Linked DNA regions of Rattus norvegicus. The protein of the gene in region 1 interacts with the protein of each later gene in a pairwise test. Links are inferred from orthologs where the notes say so. Each region holds a gene or a part of one and is shown on either strand. Other genes may lie near its edges.

What was found.
Region 2: the proteins of Fhl5 (region 1) and Banp interact in binary tests that used the Homo sapiens proteins (3 or more experiments, as listed by UniProt). The two-hybrid records come from large-scale screens. The link is inferred for Rattus norvegicus from reciprocal best matches to the Homo sapiens genes FHL5 and BANP.
Region 3: the proteins of Fhl5 (region 1) and Atosb interact in binary tests that used the Homo sapiens proteins (3 or more experiments, as listed by UniProt). The two-hybrid records come from large-scale screens. The link is inferred for Rattus norvegicus from reciprocal best matches to the Homo sapiens genes FHL5 and ATOSB.
Region 4: the proteins of Fhl5 (region 1) and Crem interact in a two-hybrid assay, tested with the Homo sapiens proteins (2 studies listed by BioGRID). The link is inferred for Rattus norvegicus from reciprocal best matches to the Homo sapiens genes FHL5 and CREM.

What each region holds. Positions count from the first base shown.
Region 1 is NC_086023.1:43,749,964-43,755,243, reverse strand, and holds the start of Fhl5 (four and a half LIM domains protein 5), read left to right. Parts: upstream 1-2,141; 5' UTR 2,142-2,257; intron 2,258-2,628; exon of another isoform or gene 2,629-2,825; intron 2,826-3,023; 5' UTR 3,024-3,088; intron 3,089-5,280. UniProt on the Homo sapiens protein: May be involved in the regulation of spermatogenesis. Stimulates CREM transcriptional activity in a phosphorylation-independent manner.
Region 2 is NC_086037.1:66,914,651-66,919,691, forward strand, and holds the start of Banp (protein BANP), read left to right. Parts: upstream 1-1,810; 5' UTR 1,811-1,871; exon of another isoform or gene 1,872-1,892; intron 1,893-2,185; exon of another isoform or gene 2,186-2,323; intron 2,324-2,331; exon of another isoform or gene 2,332-2,591; intron 2,592-5,041. UniProt on the Homo sapiens protein: Controls V(D)J recombination during T-cell development by repressing T-cell receptor (TCR) beta enhancer function. Binds to scaffold/matrix attachment region beta (S/MARbeta), an ATC-rich DNA sequence located upstream of the TCR beta enhancer.
Region 3 is NC_086023.1:62,061,096-62,066,286, reverse strand, and holds the start of Atosb (atos homolog protein B), read left to right. Parts: upstream 1-1,673; 5' UTR 1,674-1,951; intron 1,952-1,964; exon of another isoform or gene 1,965-2,104; intron 2,105-4,400; exon of another isoform or gene 4,401-4,991; intron 4,992-5,172; 5' UTR 5,173-5,191. UniProt on the Homo sapiens protein: Transcription regulator that may syncronize transcriptional and translational programs.
Region 4 is NC_086035.1:58,967,899-58,972,380, forward strand, and holds part of Crem (cAMP-responsive element modulator), read left to right. Parts: intron 1-2,164; coding exon 2,165-2,259; intron 2,260-2,399; coding exon 2,400-2,542; intron 2,543-4,482.

The DNA.
Region 1 (5,280 bases):
CCTCTCTGATATCCTGCTCGTCCCTGTCCAGTCGTAAGGCACAGCTTCCCACTCTGCCACAAACCCCCGCATTTAAGAAAACAATCTCGACTGTCTGAAAGCTCCAGGCCAAGTAAATACGTTCATCTGTTGCAGTGCTTTTTCTGAGACTGTTCCATAGGCTCAGCTGTTTCAATACATGGCTCCCATTAGCAGTCCTCCTTGGGTAGGTTTGGGGTGTGTATCCAAAGGTCAATGAGGGCAGAATTTGAAGTTTCAAGAGCTGCATGCTACTTCTTTTGCTCTATTTCTGGCTTGGGGCCTAGACGTGAGGTCTCAGCTTACTGCTTCAGCCACCATGCCTGCCTGCCACCATACTTGCCTGCTATGATGGGAATGTACTCTTACACCTCGAATTTTAAGTTCTTCCCTCTATAGGTTGCCTTGGACATGGTCTTTTTTTTTACAGCAATGGAAAACTAATACATAAGCTTTTTCTTTAATTTGCCTTTATATCTGTGAACCTAGCAATGGGAACTCTTCTGTATAGCTTACAGTTGATCTTTTCTTATTTAAGTATAGTGTGTACCTCTGAAGCTGTGTTTATTTATACAAATACCTAAATATTTCCCCTATACATAATCCACACAAAATTCTAGAGAAATGTAAATACTGAGGTTATGCCTGTTCCTAAGCATGCAAGAAATTTTAAATTCTGTTTCTTCCAGAATGTAGGCAACATGTATTTTTCATAAATCAATAACACATTTTAAAGCAAATGTTACTTTTTATTAATATAAAGAAAGGGTAGAAGGAACCACACTAGGGCAGAGGCAAGTGCTTATGGTTGATAAAGCAATTTATATAGTTAGGTTGAGACTAAAATGAAAGGATAATGATATGTTCTAAGAAATGTCATTTACTAAATGACATCTGACAGAAGGGCTAGAAATAGAGGCGGGTGGAGTATAGGCGAGGGAACCTAAGATGATGGGTGGATGGCAGTGCCATGTACTAAGAGACTAGGGCTAAGAAGATAAAAGGTTTCATTCAGGACTTCGGTGGCTACAAACCCCAAAGATTCCAGCAAATCACAAGGTGCCTATTAGAGTCATGTCAGATAACACTAAAGATCTGCTGGTCATAACATGTAAAGAGTCTCATAAGGAACACTGGAATTCACAGAAAAACACGGAACCAAGAATAAACCGCCAGGAAAAAAAAGAGGAAACCGGAAGTCTAACTTAGGTGAGAGGAAACCGAAGTCTAACTTAGGGAAAGTAAGGAAGCAGGTTTCAAGAACAGGCCTAGCCAGAACTTCCTGTAGAATCTGACAGTGCTCTCAGAGATTCTACTCAACGTATTGCATGACCCTAAAGATTTTCTTCTTCCTTCTGCTGGAGCAGTTCAAGTAAAAAATAAATTGAGGGGATCAGTGAGGTTGAATCAGACTGAAAACTATCCTTTTGAAAAGTGCATGGGTAAATCCAGAAGTCAGTTGCCTCATAACTTGATGGGGAGAGGCACTGTGACATCACCAAGATGGATTCCTTTCTTATAAGTGGAAGAAAATGCCAGTTTAGCAGTACTCGATTCTATCACCAGTGAAAGGCAGATACACATTTGCTGATCAGATTTTGTTCTTGCTAATCCTAATGTTTTGTCTTCATGTGACAAATCCATGTGAATAAAAAAAGCAGTTAATTGGCCCCATATTTCCTGTCCCCAGTCCCCAGTCCTTTGGTTATATTTAGCTGAGTCTGATTTCGAGAAATATTTACATGTGCCTTTATGGCTTAAAGCAACAAACATGTAAGTGTGGTTGGGAAACAATATGGGGATGTGACAGACAGAGCATTTCTTCTTTTCTCCAACCTTCTAAACTGAAAGAATGGTCTCGAATGGAAATTCTAAGAACAGTTCCCATTTGTCATATAGGTCAGCGTGACCCACTGAGAATTCTTGGGATGGATTAGTTCAAAAAACAAACCTCTCTCCTGACATTATCTGACTTCTCTGGACACTTCATATTTTGAGGATCTCAAGAAACCAGCTGAGCTCACATGAAGTCACACAGTGTGGATCATGACATAACAATCAGAAGGTCCGCCAGGGCGCCCAGGCAGAGGTCCAACCACACTGACAGTTCAGAAAGCAGGTAACTATCCTGAGTTATTTTATTCAAATCCAACACTCAAGAGTTCTCACATTTCCCAATAAAGAACTGATCGCGGCAAGAAAGAACATCTCATCTGCTGCTCTACAAAGAACTCCAAAGGTAAGAGTTCTCCTCATCCCTCCCGAACAGCTCAACAGACTAGATCTGCACTTCAGTTGTTTCCCACCAAAAGGAGGAGTTTCATAGCTACCAGAAAACAAAACCAAAAATGGATCGATTAAGGAAATACAAAATACATATTTTCGGAGAACACTTTGTTTACAATCATGACCTTAATTGAACTTAGTCAGTGGAAATTCTCAAGGGTGTGTGTGTCTGCATAAATGTTCTATATTTTAAACTTTGTGGCTTTGCCAGATACTTCAGATGCTAACACTAGTCAAATTTCCCTTTAAGGATATTCTGAAGGGAACTTTTTCCTTGTGATTTTAAGTAGAATGGACCACGGGTGGTTTTTGGCTTAGGAGGAGTCTTGGGTACGTGTCACAGAGTTGTAGGAGAGAATTTATTTTTTCCTACAAAATTGAAAGGCTGCAAGGAGCAGCCCTCAAGTAATGCTGACAAGAACTCTGTTCATTCTGGAGTCGACCTGTCTGTGATTGAGAAGGGAACCCACCATCTGTTCTCCTAGACTGTAAAGTAAAAGGAAAAAGCAGCTGAAGAAAGAGTGAGTTTTCTCCCCGCTGCTTCCTTTATGTTTGGTTATATGGCATTTTTTTTTGGCTTTTAAAATTTAAGAATGAGAGTTTTACAAACTTTCCAGAAAATTCGTAATATAAACTTTTGCTTGGAGGATGTGTGCAAACCGTGAACTCTTAGCAATAAGAGCCGATTGGTACTTCTTTCTTCTTTCTGGGTTTTACAGATTTCTCATTTTGATGAAACTCATGGATGCAGCACAGTGGCAGATAACTGGAATTGCCTCTCTGGGTTTGTGATCTTCCTTAATACATGGACATGCTTATTTTCATAAGAGGGGGGAAGGGGAAATAGTCCAAGTCTTTATTCTGTATAATTTATTTGAGTGAATAACGTTATTGTGGGGATGTTTCATGACTGAATTTCTTATACAGAACATGTTAAAGTGTTTAAGTACAGAACCCCATGTTAAAGCCTTTGTGTAAATAAGGTAACCAGAAGCCTGTTTTCTAGAAGAATCTTAATTCTCTCCAAAAGTGGGCATTGAGCAATTTCCTAATCTGTTCCAAAGGACAGAAGTAAAATGACTCCGTGTCCCACCCACATAAGTAAGTATATGAAGCCCTGCATCTGAAGTGCTATTTTTTGACATTAAGATTCCATTATTTAGGCAAAATGTGCTCGTCTCTCTCCATTTTCAGTCATACTTCTTTGGTACCTGCCATCCATTAGAAGGCAAACTCAGCATGCTGACTGTTTTGGAGTATAGAAATGTGGGAGCTTAAAACATCAATAAAATGTGTAATTCTTGCACCTATAATGAAAGAAAAAGCATTGAGTGGCTTTGGCCACTATTTCAGATTTACAACACTGTCATGTGTAAATCCTTGCAAACTTAACACAAATCGCAGACAAGATATTTCTAAGGATGTATGTTAAGATAAATGCCTGAAATCACAAGCCAAATCGCTTGATGGAGAAGGTATACTCACGTCTGCTTTCTGGTTCTATAGATGTCTCATGCTGACATTAGCTGAATGCCAGTTCTGTCTAATGAAATGGTACCTCATTGATAAAATTTCCTCTCATTCCTGACATGGTTGCTCACAGCAGTATTTTGAGTAAAGACTTAATTTGGATTAGGCAAACCTAAAGTATTTTCTACTTATTATACTGAAAGTATGTGTTTTTATAGAACATTTTAGGAAAGCGTTGATTATTTTGATGGTTTTCAATACAGGCAGCATGGAATCAGCTATCAGTTAAACTAAGCTTGCATTTCATTGCTCTTATAAATATCATATGCCTGTCTGCTACTTGGGTAACCACTGGAAGGACCTTTACAGAGGATAGGGAGTGAATGAGGAATGTTTCCCTCAAAGTACCTCGAATCCTCTTAAAATTATCAGCTCAGAAGTGTACGCACTACCCAATCAGATCACAGTGAGCTTATTTGTGACTTACGGACTCTTCTCAGAATAACAATAATGAATTGGATGCTGTGGGGGCATCCAGGGCAAAGCTGCTAGAGATCCTGACTGGGACAACATAAGACCCCTTCCAAATAATATGCCCTGGTAACTTACGTTATTTCCATCAGTTGCCTCTTTGGCCCCAGCTGTACATCTCCCTTTGTTTGTCTGATGCATTCTCAAACCTCATACAAGCCAACTAATTTCTTCCCTTTGCTTCAAATAGCATGTTTCTCAGGTATACTCCTTTAAAAAGATATCATGATCCACCTCGTGACTCAGTCCAGACACAGGATAGAATCCTTTTTGCTTCTCTTACTCTCATCTTTTTTCACTTGTTAACATTAGCCCTTCAACAAACCCCTCTGCCTCTAGCAGAATGAATAACTCCCCCCACCTTACCCCCAACTCCGTCAACTTCTTGTTGAGTCCTCATGAGCCCAATCCCCACTCATGACAGTTTTGCATTCAAAGTAGGTTCTGGGGATGCTAACATTATTAGTCTACAGGCCTCACTGAAGGGCAAGGATAACTCTTGGACTGGATGGCTGGTGCTCAAAGAGCACCTCTGGTGGTCCTCAGCGCTAGACGTTAAAAAGAGATGAACATCTTAACCAGGTTTTTCTGCAGTGCTGCACTGGCATAATCTAGTTGATGAGTAGATGAGTTGTTAATACATGAATGAACAGACTATAGGTAGATATAAAGTCCTGTGTCTATAAAAAGAAAGATTTAATACTCTTGTCAGAAGTGTTAGCACTCTTAAAAAATGTTAGCAATCCTATACTGACATGCAATTCAGTTGATGCTACTATGGGCAGAGGGTTAAATTCCTGCCAGTATAGAACTAATAATGCTTCTAATATGTGCATGTTCTCTACACATAAAGGTTAACATTTCTTTAGCAGCTATGTGATGTAACTGTCACTTGGGAAAATGTAAATGCAGTTGACACTAGGGTGCTATGCAGTCTAAATTAAGATTCTGTTTTTAAAGCGATTTCTAGTTCTA
Region 2 (5,041 bases), on another chromosome or scaffold:
CTAATACTACCTACCTTTACTTAGAGCAACGGATCTGGGTCAGTAGGAATTTCAGATCTTTATGTTGGAGACCGCTTTGCAAGATAATTAGGACACAAGGTGATAACAGAGTTTTGCATAGGTCCTAGGGGTGCTCTGTATCTGGAGGTCACTGGGTGCCGAAAAAAGGAAAGGACCCTGCAGGCTAAGGACTTTAGTGAAATCCAATTGAAATCCAGGGTATGATCCATGCAGATTTTCTGTGACTCCTTTACCTTTTGGCTAAGATTGAGTGCAAAAAATTTTCCTTTTTTTTTTTTTTTCTTTTTTTTCGGAGCTGGGGACTGAACCCAGGGCCTTGCGCTTGCTAGGCAAGCGCTCTACCGCTCTACCACTGAGCTAAATCCCCAACCCCGCAAAAAAATTTCCTGAGGTAGTTTTAGCAAACAGGTTGTACAAGGAGGTCACACGGGACTGTGAGAGGGTCCGTGTGATGTATCTGCCCTGTGTGGTATGGGCCCATTGAGGAGTCTGCATCCTAGAGTCCCAGGTCAGAGGTCACAAGGAAGATATGCAAGAGAGAGATTCACTACTCAGAGGCTCTATCCATGGTGATGGAACCTGTTCCCAGAAGAAAAATTGACCTTTCAACGGATTTTTTTTTCTCTCTCCGCATCTCCCCACCCCCCTCCGGTCCCCACTTGCATTCAACATTAAAATTCTAAGACTTCACACAGATGCCCAAAGCCCGCCCTTCTGGCTCCAGCTGCTGCCTCTCCCAGCAATTTCTGTCTCTTCGGACTTCATCCTCATCTCTGTAAATGATAGGTCTCATTTTAACAGCACAGTTCTAGGTTGAAATCTTCAAGACACTCCTGAGGAAAAGTAATCCCTTGACAGAGCACAATGGTTTAGAAGGGCTGTCCCTAGGTCGCCCAGCTGGTAGCTGCACTGAGTCATGGCTTTATTATCGGCACGGGGAGGGGACAGGAAACTTAAAGTATTTTCTTTTTAAGTTAAAATAGCTCCTGGATCCTGGTTTGTGGGAATGCTCACTACGAACATGCAGAAGGAGCCAGCCTGGAAAGGAATATGGACAACAGACTAGGTTCAGAGACCGCCATTAGTGGCATTTCTGGGAACAAATGCACATCGATGCTTCATAGCTCTTATTGCATGATAATGTAAGCATGTCACATATAATCTCTATTACAGTGACAGTGTCCCCGAGACCTGCTTATCCTTAAGGAAGTCAGGCAACTTGCGAGACGATGCCACTGAATGAGTCCGGAACGTCCGAGATTGATCCAGGCCTAGTAGGTAGGACCAGTTTGGGAGCGTACAGCCCATTTGAGCTGCTGTCACTACAAGTCCCAGCAGTCCTCAGGGCAGGGAAGGCATGTGGCTACCAGAATCAGGATGGACTACAAATCCCAGCAGGCAAGTCACAGTCGCTGAGACTACCAGTCCCAGAATGCATCGTGTCCTACACAGCGTACTCTGGGATTTGTAGTCATCAGGGCAGCGTTAGTGTCCGTTCACACCCGTCAAAGAGGACGTACATTCCTCAGATTGCCCACTGGAGTATTTACTGCTTTAGCAAGTAACACAGACATGAGATGGGGAAGTAAGGGCCTATTGAGTCAACTCTTGGTACACGGGAGGACAACTGCGCATGTTCACTGGAGTCCGTCGGCGAAAGCGCGCGCAAGAGGCGCCCAGCGCAGGCTCCGCCCCCTGCCCGACTGGCCCCTCCCTGGAGCCCCGAGCTCAGGGAGCCTGCGCTGAGGGCGCGGCGCAGGCTGTGGGGAGGTGCTCGCAGCGCCTGCGCAGAGCTGCTGCTTCTCTCGCGAGGACGGACGCCATTATCGCATCTCCCCGACAAACACCACGAGAATTCCGCAGCCCACACGGTAATTGCAGCTCCCGCAGCCGGTCGCGCCTCCACTCCCCCTTCCCGCGGGGCGAGAGCGAGAGCGAGAGCGAGATCTCCGTCCGCCCCCGCCCCGCCCCGCCGCCAACCGTTGCCAACGGCCGCGGGCCGCACGCCGGGCTGGGCGGGGGCCAGCGGGCCGCGGAATGTCCGCGCGCCGCCTCCGCCCGCCGGGGCTGCGGGCTCCCGGCTGGGCGTGTGGGGTCCGGGGAGCGAACGAGCGGGCGAGGCCCGACGGCCGCGCTCGCGTTCGGCTCCGGAGCCTCGGCGCCTCCCGGGCCCGCGCCCGGCGCCCCTGTCACGGCCGCCCAGTCTGTCAGTGCAGGGCCTCGCGCGGTGCTCCCGGGTCCTGCGCGCCGCCCTGCCGCCTAGGTGGCCCCATCTCCCGGCAGTTCTTGGCGCTCTGCCCCGGTAGGGTGGCTTCGCCCTGGCTGGCGCATCCGCCTCTGCTCTGCTCTCTGTTTACATCGGGGCTGATAACTGGTGCTCGCTTCCCCACCTAGCGTCATGTCCCCGTCCCGCACAGCCTTGCTTTTATCCCTTGTTGTTTGTAGTGGCCTTTGTTTCTCTGCTCCTGGTGACAATGTAACTTCTCGAAGATAGTGTTAAATCTTCGACTTCACTCCACCTCCTCTCTGCCTTTTTCTAATCTGGGGTAGTGACTTTTAGGCCCGTCCAGGTAGGTCCAGCTGTCTTTCTTTGCACGCCTGGTTAGTTCAGGACACAGTGTTTCAGTCTGCTTTCTTCTCAGTCCTTAGGGAGCTTCTGCCAAGTACTTCCTTTCTGGTAACTGTTTCCTCCCTGGAAGGTTTTAAGGTCTCCTTGGCATTGGAACAGTTTTACAGTTCACAGGTATGCTCAGTAGGTGTGTCCTTGAGCTCTGGGAGATTTTCCCAAGAGAATTTGTCCCCCCACCCCGATTTTCTTTTTTCAGGGATTCCTGCCATGTGCGACACACATTTGGGTACACTACTTGAGTTTCTTCATCTTTCTATTCCAGGAAAGAGCTTCAGTTTATCTTTAAGCCCTAATATTTTAAGTTTTGTTCTGTGCATTGGCCCAGGACTTTAATGCCAGCACTTAGGAGACAGAGGCAGGTGGATCTTTGCAAGTTTGAGGCCAACCTCGTTTACATAGTGAGACCCAATGGTGGGGGAGGGGGAGTGGTGTATCCATAATCAAAATTGAAGTTTCTGGGGTTGGGGATTTAGCTCAGTGGTAGAGTGCTTGCTAGGGTTCGGTCCCCAGCTCCGAGAAAAAAAAAAAAAAAAGACAAAATTGAAGTTTCTGAGCAGAGCGCAATGGCACACACTTTTAGTCCCAGCACTTGGGAGGCAAATGCAGGCTGATCTCTTAAGTCTGAGACCAGCCTGGTCTACAGACTGAGTTCACAGCCAGAGCTACACAGAGAAAAGCGAAACAACAAAAAAAAAAAAAATTTTTTTTTCCTGAATGTATTTGTTTTTTTCCTTTTATTCAGTAGTTTGTTTCATCAATACGTTTTCTCCTTTGGGCTGAGGAAACTATTAGGGGTTCTTTTCAGTTCTCTGATTTCTTATTTAGTATCACTTTTGAGGAGTGGATGGTAAGTGTTAGCTTCTTGCTTTGGATGGCAGGGCCTCCACTAGTGCTAATTATAATTGCTTAAACTTAGACCTTAAGGTAAGAGGAAACTGGCAGGGGACCCAGGGTCTGTGGAGAAGGTTTTTAAAATGGTTTTTTCCCACTAGTATCTGCCAGAGCTTCTTACCTAGAGACTTGGAGGAGCACATAGCAGACACCTTCTATCTGGGCTGTTTATCTGTCTTCAAGGGTCTCCCTTTGCTCGGAAGCTGCTGTGCTTGGCTCTGAGGTGGCTGTGGAGACTGCCCCTGATGAGGCCGGGAGCCCCACTCCTGTGTTCCCCAAGCTGTCTAGATGAGCTCCTCTGTCAGGAACTGAAGGCTTGCTGTGTACTGTTTTCTTGTGAGTTTATTGTACTCTCGGAAGTATTTTGATGGGGTAAGCGGAGATTGTTTTCAAGGCCACTTACCTGGAACAGGAATTTAATTTTAGAGCCTGTTGTCTTCAGATAATTTCTCTCCTTACATTTTTGGGTTTTGTAATGGATGTGTGCCAGATCATGGTCTCTGTGGTTGCCTCCAGTTGAATGGATGGTTCTTCCGCTCTGCTATCTTGGTAGGGCACCAGGATGCAGGAGACTGGTCAGACACTGAGATTAGGCCCTTCAGTTTAGCTGCTTCACTGTCTAGTTGGGTTAGTGCAAGCAGCTAGCATATCATGGTTCACTGATCAGAGGTGAGCAGTGCAGTGTGTGCTGTACCCATAGCACAGGGATAGCAAGGCCAAGCATTGGGCTGGTACACTTGCAAGTTTTGCTTAGTGAAGTAGGCTGCATCCGCCAGGGCCTTGCAGCAGAGTCCACAGCAACCCACACACTGGTGAGCACTTAGCCCACCTGTGATTAAGGATTTCAGAGAGACTACAGCTGCCTTCCTCTTCCCCTTCATCATATCTAACAGCAGGGCTACCCAGATTACAGACCTTACACCCACTGACATCTTTTGTTTGCTTTGTTTCAGGATCTAATTCCCGACTCCTCACTGTAGTTGTCATGTCTTCTCCAGTCTGCTCTTTCCATTATCCCAAAGCATTCAGTGTTTATAAGTCTTGGCAGGAAAAAGTGCTCTCTCTGGAAAAAGCCCTGCAGATACTCTAGCGTCTGACTGATGATTGAGGCCAGTGTGCTCAACAGAGACACTGATATCAAATACCCCAAGAGATAAACTAAGACATCAGTTTTCTGCTAGAAATGCAGTGTGTTTGTGGGAAGGTTAGATGCACCTGGGGGGGGGGGGTGTTAACTGGAACCCTGCCCTGTGTCTCTTCAGGTAAGGGGCTCAGAATCTCCATGTGGTCAGGGCATCCGAGGGAAATAGTGAATTTGCAACAGTGGTTTTACTACTGCTGCCCCATGCAGCTTAGCCTGTTTTCTCAGAATGAGCTATGCTATCTATGGAAACTTAAGGTGTTAAATGAATTCCATGATGCAAGGTCCACTGTAAAAGTACCATATAACTCAAAGGGCCACCTCAATCATTTAAATCCGGAAGGACATTTTCCCTGGGA
Region 3 (5,191 bases), about 18 Mb from region 1:
CTAGGTATGACCTCATGCATGACTGAACTATGCTCCTTTCCCTAGGGCATACTGAGGCCTGGAACATTTTTTATCCTGACTCCTTTAGTGTTCCCACTCTGATCTTTGTAGAAAACTAAAGCCTGAAATTATAGTTAGACAGAACAAAGGAGGGCTGCTGAGAATTATTCCTAAGATATTCTGTCTTTCTGTCTTCCTAGTGAGCTTTGCTGAGGCAAATACATTCTCATATTGATTCTTCACTTGTGTTTAGGGCTTTGAGACTTTAAAATCCTGCTCCTTCATACAGGGAATTCAATCTTAGGGAGCTGGTTTGTTTTATTTTTTTTAAGAGTTTCCTACTCATTAGAGGTAAGGAGAAAGAATCCTAGAGGACTGTTGTTTGCTTGTATTACTTGTAGAACCCAGAGAGGAAGTAGGGAGGGGGAGGGGAGGGCTCTTTTTACAGTGCAGCAATAAACGAATGGTCCTTGGGGCTCATCGCATAGGCAAAGCACAGGCCTTTACTTCTTTTGGTTCTGCTGTTTGTTCCATTTCTGTGACTGAGAAAAGGCCTGAGTTGGTGACAACCTGTCTGACCCACTGATAAGTTCAGAGGACAAGGTAGACAAGGCTACCCATCTTCTCAGGTTATCTCCAGAGCAGTCCCTCTAAAAAGTGTCTATGAATGTCCAGGCCTTGCAAAAATTCCACCCCGATTATTTACAGAGCTAAGGACAAAGGTTAGGGATGCTTATTCTGCTACTGCTTAATTTGGCTGGCTCTGGGCTGGGCCTGGGGCCCAGTGACTCAAGGGGAGCTTGGTGAGTTTCGAGGGAGCTGTGAGTCATGAAGACTAACTTGGTCTCCAGACTGACTCTGGGCAGAAGGCCTTTTAACTCACTGCTGAGGATACTCTGCTTCCTTGGAGCAGAGGTCTGTTAGCAAAGAGTGCTCCAAAGCCTGATCCGTGAAGAGTTTTGAGCCCAACGGATGAGGCCTGAATCCCTGAAATTTAAATGTATTTTTATCTCAGGAGCCTCCTGGGGTCTCCAAACAAAGGCAAAAGGGAGGGGGGTGCGAATGCCATCTTTCAGTATGGATGGAGATACGGTACGACTTTAGGTCTTTTTTTGCCTGCTTTTGTAGAAAGCTTACTAGATAGCAACAACGCTCTTGGAGCTCTATTTCGGGATGGGGTGGGGGGATGAATGGGCTTGGGGTTATGTGTGGTTGTGTTTGGTATGAGTTGGAGATTGTTGAACTGTATCTGTGAAAGCCCTGGAGCTTCCTATTAATTTACTTAAGAACAGGAAGTGTGGAGGAGAAAGATTTGTTGAGCGCTGAGAGGATGAAGTCTGAATGAGGTTAAATGACAGGGCAGAGAATTGCTTAGGACTTGGACAGAAAAAAGGGTTAAGGAGGTGGGCGGGGCGACATTGGGTAGGCCTGCCCTTATGTGGACCAATAGGCGTGCGCCCCTTGGAGAGGGCGTGACTCACGCTTGAGGTTGCTGAGAGGCTGGCCTCCACTGGACCAATGAACATAGTTGTTGCCCTTGGAGGGTGTGGTCTGAGGGGGGCGTGGCAGCCGTGGTCGCAGTGCTGGGGGTGGCTGGGCGCTGGGCGGGGCGGGCGGCCCCATCAGCTGGTAGGAAATGGCCTGTGAGTCAGAGGGGCAGCTGAGTCTGCGGCGAGGAGCCGGGGCGGCCCCGGGGAGGGACCGTCGCAGGGAGGGGTGCAACAGCAGCTAGAGGGGCTGCGTACGCCAGAGCCCGCTAGTGTTGCACACGAAGCTGATCAGAGAAGAGCCAAGCAGAGCAAGGCTCTCAGCCTAAGCCACCCTTTGTCTGGGTTGGGGGCCCGTAGTAGGGGGGACTGGTTATCCGAGGGGAGGGACAGGGATCGGAACGGGGACGGGACGGAAGGGCCCGGAGCAGCGGCCACCGCGGCGGAGCCAATTTGGGAGTGGGGTGAGTGTGTACTAGGTGGAAGGATCAGATCTCCAAAACCTCTGCACGGTATGGGGCCTGTCCCAGCCTGTGAAGAAGGGATGAGAACCGACCTGGGAGGCTGAGCAGGGGGTGGGGGGGAAATCGTCCAGGACAAGGAGTCCAGGAGCCAAGGTGAGTCTCCGTGTCTGAGTTTGGAGGGGTCCCTGAGGTCTGCTCCCTCTCTATTAAGGGTGAAGGGCTCTAGGCCAGGAGTCAGAGGGAGGGAAGGTGAAAAGCAGAGATTGACCTTTCTACTCACAGCAGTGGTCTTGGGAACAGTCACCTTAGCGTGTATAGACATGTATGAGGACAAAATGTACAGCAGTGAGCAGCGGAACTCTGCCTAGGATAAGAGTGGAAAACACATGGATAGGAATTCTTCCCCCACCTCGTTAGGGTAAAAATGGGTGTCTTGAAACTGAAGGGAAGGATAGAATGAGCCTAGGTGTTCTTCCTGTACCACAACCTCTCCCACCTCCCAAGTCTAACAAGTATCTGAGGGTACAGACCTCATGGTATTCTGGGACTTGTTGTTTTTGCTGACCTTGCTCTCGGCATGTTGGGAGCTGTAGTCCTTGGCAGCCACAGTCTGGCACAGCTGTTTAATGCCAGCTGCTGCCCATCCCCAGTGTAGAGGGCGAGGTTTGGCTTATACTGGCCTGTCCCCTCTCCCTGCAGTCCTTCCCCATGAGTCAGCTTGAAGCTGGGTGGCAGAGGAGTGAGTCTTAGAGCGTCTCTGGACAGGGAGGGAACTAATAGGGCTCTGGATTAATGAGCAGATGCCAGGCATGCTGGGGTCAAGTAGGGCATCATGTCATCACCTGGCTTCCTTGAGGCAAGAGCTCAGGAGGGCAACTGAGATGACCTGGAAATTGGGGTGCTCAAGAAAACGCCCTTCTTGAACTTTAAAGCCTGGGTGGAGAACAGGCAGGGAAGAAATGAGAACAGGTTATACTCTCATGACACTGCCACTACTGACGTTCTCCACTTTCTAGCCATCTCACCCACGGGAAGGACCAGAATATTCTTAGGATCTCATTCAAAGGGGGACCTGGCGAAATGGCAAAGTATGGCCTGAAAGGAAGGCAACAGTTGATGTGGGAGAGTTTCTCAGTCCCTAAGTGTAAATGTCACCTTTCTCTCCGTCTCCTACAACCACATGAGCTGCTGCAGTTTCCCCCTGTACAATTAATCTCTCCACTCTTCACCCGTAGTGTTTCTCTACACTGTCAGGACTGCTGACCAAATCACTAGTGCTAGTATTTAGGCTTTTTTGAATTCTGATGTGTGTTTCTCCTGAGCTTGAAATGGGACTGGGGAAGAAACACAGACCCATCCTCAGGTGTGACATAATCAGAAGTAAACGGAAGTATTACCGGGTTACAGAAAGTAGTTAGTGGCACTGTCTTATGGAAGTCTGAGATGAGAGATCTTTTGGAGGGGAATGACTTTGAGATATCCGTGAAAGAGGGGTGGGAAAAGGTATTTTGTTATATTTGTTGGGCTTGGTTCTAGTTTTTGTTTTGTTTTGTTTTGTTTTCTGGAGACAGGTTTTTCACTGGGCTGGCTTTGAACTCAGAGATTTGCCTGGCTGTGCCTCCAGAGTGTGTGAACTAGCGTGTACTACCACCCTTCAGCTTCTTTGTTGGTTTTGTGTTTTGTCTGAGATAGGATGTCTTGTAGCCCCGTCTAACCGTCTGACCTTAACTGTCTGGTGGAGTGTGAAGGCCGGCTGTAACCTGTTTTTCATTTGTTTCTTTTTGTAATTTTTGTTTTGTTTGATTTTGACAGAGGACCTCTCAAAATGTAGCTAGACTGGTTTAGATCCTCCTGCCTCAGCCTCTAGCATTATGATAAAGGGCATTATGGTTGGTATTCCTCACAGACTGCTGACCAAATAAGGATGACAGTGGGGACTGTTGGCCTTCAACTTGACAGTCTGGTCACTGAAATATTGGCTAATGGTCTGTGAAGACCATTTTTGTGCCATGGCAACAAAGAAATGCTTTAGGTTTTTTTGAGTACTGGTTGTGCCTGAGGGGGAGGGGCATGGGGAGATACTCCAGTTGTTTCTAGTTGACTGCTTGCTGCTTCCTTATCTCTGGTTTGCAGGGCCTGGGGGGAGGGGTGGGAACTATAAAGTGCCTTCTGACAGTTCTCTCCTTCCATCCCTTGTTTTTGGTTAGATTTCTTTTTTTTTTTTTAAAGATTTATTTATTTATTATATATAAGTACACTGTAGCTGTCTTCAGATACACCAGAAGAGGGCATCGGATCTCTTTACAGATGGTTGTGAGCCACCATGTGGTTGCTGGGAATTGAACTCATGACCTCTGGAAGAGCAGTCGGGTGCTCTTAACCGCTGAGCCATCTCTCCAGCCCTAGATTTCTTTTTTTGTTTTTTTTTGTTTTTCTTTTTTGGGGGTGGAGGGGTTAGGGGGTGAAGGTAACAGGGTTTCTCTGTATAGCCCTGGCCATCCTGAAACTCTCTCTGTAGACCAGGCTGGCCTTGAACTCAAAGAGACCGGCCTGCCTCTACCTTCCCAGTCCTGGGATTAGAGGTGAGCACCACCAATCCCAGCACCACCACTGCCCCGCTTTGGATTTCTTTTCTCTGTTAAAAAGACAGATTTCTGGGGAAAGTTAGTATTTTAAGTGTGAAGGGCTGGCCTGGAGCTGACTTGGGGTTTGTAGTTGTGTGATGGGGTGTGCCTATCTGCATGACCTCTGCTCTTAGCACTCTGGAGTCGCACTTGCCCCTTTGTATAGACATATGGAGATGAGTTGTGTAATTGGAGGGCCTTGAGTAAGAGAAGAACACTGTTACCCTGTCCACCTACTAGCTGACATGGAATCTCTCTGATCTTTGAGGCATCTTACCCCTCCCCCCCTCCCCCACCCCACTATGCAGAGCCACTTCCCAAGATGGAGGCCTTGACAAGTGGTTCATCTTGCCTCTACTCATTTCTCACATCCTTAAGACAGTCAGCCAAGACTTGCTTCTGTGTTGAGTCCTCAGGTAGCCCAATTCTTATGCATGTGCCCTAGGTCTCCAGCCTGCCCCTTCTATTCCTGAAGAGTTTATCCCAAAGCGGGAAGATATCTTGGTGTATGTGCCGATATAGTAGCCCATATTAGTGTTGGGGGGATCTTACCATTGGCTGCAGGGATCCCAGCTTATATTTCCTCTTTTCCCTCAGGGTCCAACTGAGCCCAGGA
Region 4 (4,482 bases), on another chromosome or scaffold:
TATCCATGACCAGAAATGTTATATTTGTAGATGAATATATTTTGCATATGTGTGTGTATATATGTACACACATGCCTATCTATATGCATTCAAGATTAGATAATTCCTTTTATTAAAATCAGAAATGAACTTTTAGTATGTATTTTAATTGGTAAACAATTTTTATCCATTTATTTTGAACAACATTTTGTTTTCAAGTGTGTATACCTTGTGGTATGACTAAATTGGCTAATTAAAATATGTATTTTATATCATCTTTTCATGCTGGAAACACTTTAAATATGCTAATTCTACACAAACTTTTAGAATTTTCAAGAGGAAAATATACCAATCTTCCTTTTTTCTCCTCTTCTTTCTTGGCAATTTTCTAGAGAAGATTTTTTGAAGCTCAAGCTGGCTTCAAGCTCATAGTATATTTAAGAATGTCCTTGAATTTTATGTGCTTCTGTTTCTGCCTTCAAATGTTGGGGTTAGAGGATTTCACCACTATACCGGGTTTTATGTGATATTGGGGATCAAATATACGGCGTTGTACATGATGAAAATACTCTCTCAACTGGGCCACCTCCCCACCACCGTGCTGTTCCTACCTGGACTCACCACGTAGCATGAAGGAGCTACATGTCGTTTTCATGCTTGATCTTCTTAGTTTTTTTCCCCCATGTCAAAGTCTCATGTAACATGAAGTTTTGTGAACCTACTTCCCCTAAACCTTAGAGCTAATGACTAAATATATTGACAGAAGACATGTTTAGAGATTTGTCATTTTAGTTTTCTCATTTTCTTTAGTTGTCATATCATTGCATTGTTCCTGGTTTTAAAAGTGAAATCATGCTGTAAATTCTGATACTTTTATTTTTACCACTCTTATCCATCCATCCATCCATCCATCCATCCATCCATCCATCCATCCATCCACTCACCCACCCACTCACCCATCCACTCACTCACTCACCAGTCTATCTTCTATGTGGATGTGTCTTTGGGTGCATTCCATAATGTCTACTTGTAGGTTAGAGGACAACTAGTGGGAATTTGTTCTCTGTGTGTTATGTGGGTCTTGGGACTGAACTCAGGTTGTCAGGCATAGTGGCAAGTGCTTTTATTCACTGAGCCATCTTACTGGTTTTTTAAATATAAATTTGTTTTGACTTCAGAATCTTTAAACTCTAATATAAGCCTTATAATATAAATTCTTCTCTTAACAACCCTGGTTTTACTGATTTGTTTATATAAGCATTCTTCTTCGGACCTATCTAATGCACTAACTTTTTTAAAAAATTTACATTTCAAATGTTATCCCCTTTCCCAGTTTCCCATCCATAAATCCCCTATCCCATCTCTCCTTTCCCTGCTTCTATGAGGGTGTTCTGCCACCCACCCCTTCCTGCTTCCCCACCTTCCCCTACCCTGGGGCATTGAGCCTTGGCAGGACCAAGGGCTTCTCCTTCCATTGATGCCCAACAAGGCTATCCTCTGCTACATATGCATGCAGCTGGAGCCATGAGTCTGTCCATGTATACTCTTTGGATGGTGGTTTAGTCCCTGGGAACTCTGGTTGGTTGGTATTGTTATTCTTACGGGGTTGCAAACCCCTTCAAACCCCTTCAGACCTCTTCAGCTCCTTTAATCCTTTCTCTAAGTCCTCCATTCAGGAACCTGTTCTCAGTTCAGTGGTTGGCTGTGAGCATCTGCTTCTGTATCTATCATGCTCTGGCAGAGCCTCTCAGCAGACAGCTATATCAGGCTCCTGTCAGCTTGCACTTCTTGGCATCAGCAATATTGCCTGGGTTTGGTGGCTGTATATGATGCCGTAACTTTTATACCCAGTTTAGGCCAATGATAATGTAGAGAGAGAGCACTAAATTGAGTAGTTTTTCTGCATCTGTTATGGCCTTACTGATATCTGTACTTACAAGAACACATTCAGGTTTGGGGTTTTGGGTCTTAAGTGTTTTATGCATTTCCCTTTCCTGTGAAGCCTTACTTGGTATTCCAAGTACTCTTCTATTGAATTTTTGTAGTTTATTATCCATTCTATTCCTTGTTTTCCTCTCCATACAAACACTAAGCTGAGTTCTATGCACAGACTCTTAATCACCATTTTTGAGTGAAATGAAGACCATACATGTTATGATGCATTTCAGAAAGTCTTGTATTATAGGTAGCAACAATTGCAGAGACAGATGATTCTGCAGACTCAGAAGTAATCGATTCGCATAAACGTAGAGAAATTCTTTCACGAAGACCCTCATATAGGTGAGTTAACTAACTTTCCAACTGGAGTATTTCCACCCAAAAAACCCCACAATAATTATAAAGCCAAGCAATTATTCTTTATAGCTTTTTGTTGTCTCTTTCTATATCCTAATTGCTTATATTTTTATATTATATTTTAGAAAAATACTGAATGAACTTTCCTCTGATGTGCCTGGTATTCCCAAGATTGAAGAAGAAAAATCAGAGGAAGAAGGGACACCACCTAACATTGCTACCATGGCAGTACCAACTAGCATATATCAGACTAGCACGGGGCAATACAGTATGTATGCTACAATTCCATAGACACAGTGCTAGCTTTAAGTCTTCCTATTACAGTGAAGCGGTGTGGGTGTGGGCATCCAAATGTTTCATTAACAACTGTGAATCATTAACAACTGTGTGTCACAGAATAAAAAGTGCATGTTAAAGCAGTAAGATATTTGTACTGACAGCTGAAAAGTCTTTATTGCTGAGTGTGCATGATAAGTGGTTAAAAATTAAAGAAAGGGTTCCTATTTACATGTTTATATTCCTCTCAAGTAACAATTTGAAAAGTTCTTGTTTTTGTTGTCTTTCTGCTATAAATGTCTGTATTTCATTGTCGATGGCATTTGTTGCCAGCGACTTATTATACTTAATCATATAATAAGAGGTAAATATGTTTTCTAAGTTGTGCTTTAAATGTAATTTCATTTCATTACTTTGTTAATTTGTGCTGCAGTTTTTCTAAAAGAACAAAAAATTATTTAACTTTCAAACTGTAGCAATTGGATAGATCATTTTATTTGAACTTTACACACTGGAAGCTCTAATAAACAGATACATTGGCATTTAGACTTGTGCATTTTAATGTATTGTTACTTCTGTGCTTTTTGAAATTCTTACTAAAGCACTAATGATTTTCCCAAGTCAAGCACATTTGACAGACAAGAATAATGCGACCTAGAAAGCAAAGTAGAAAGGAAGAAAGGAAACCAGAGGAAACAACTTCTTGGGTCTTTGGGGATGTATGTAATGTTATATACTGTGTCTAAATAAAGTGCAAAGACTATAATGTAGTCTTACCTGCAAAGTCTCAAGACTTGGCTATTAAACATGTTATCTCCTTTTCTGTATGGAAGATCTTATGTAGGAGTTGTTGTTGTTGTTTGTTTCTTAGAATTTCTCCTGTGGTGATAGATATTTGTAATAGTAAATTAAGTCCTGTTGGTAATTTTGGGTAGCTATTGTCATGACCTGTCAAAGATGGGTATAACTTGTCAATACTCTGCTGGATGCTGAATGCACATGTTCAAAATGAGTGTGAAGAAAATTCCCACAACCTTTTGTTTCTGTCTTGGTTTCTTTGTACTATTGGGACTATGTGGTGAATGTTTTAGGTCTGTAAACCAGGGCTTGCTAGCTTTTGTGCCTCTGTAGTACAGTCTAGGTTCCTGGAGTGCAGACAGCTCCTCAGCTCTGCGTCCCTAGATAGGCTGAGCAGGTCTAGGAGGCTAGAGCCTCTCTACTGATCCTCAGCCTTGAGCAACTTTGCCCATTTACCCAGTGCGCAGTGGGCTGTTCATGCTATTGTTTTCTGTTTGTGCTTTGACAGGGGAAAGTTTGGAAAATACTGCTGAAAGAATGTTAATACAAAGTTTTGGAGAGAGGCTAAGAGGATGTTATCTTGGCATTTCTCTGGCATGGCCTGAGACTACATAGGACTTTTCATGGCGGCAATGATCTATTAACAGGGAACAAGGGAAGTTGATGCTGTGGGTTAATTTGCCTAGATTATTACCACTAAATGTGACATAGTGAAATGAAAGCTAGGAGAATGTTGAAGCTGGAGGGAATGTGGTGAAGGGCTTTGGTGTTTGCTTCTGCTCACTCAGTGATCAGATCAAGAGGCATCTCAGGCTTTAGTCTTGAAGTGGGAATAATTTCAGGGGCCAAACTGTGGGGTATATGTGAAGACAAAAGAAAAGCATAGGTCAAAGTGGGGAGAAAAAGATGTGCAAACACTGGGAGGAGACAAAGGAGTTTGCATTAGTTGAGACGATCTTGTTCATGCTCATTCAGCCTCTCCTTTCAGTGAGCTTCTGTGCCGCAGCTGCAGAGCTCCCAGTGTCTACACTTGACTTTCTAGTCACTTTATGTAGGCTGCAAGGTGGGGAAGAGTCAGAAGTTCCAGGGGTAACGAGGCAACTGTTAGAAATTCAGCAGAATAATCTCTATACT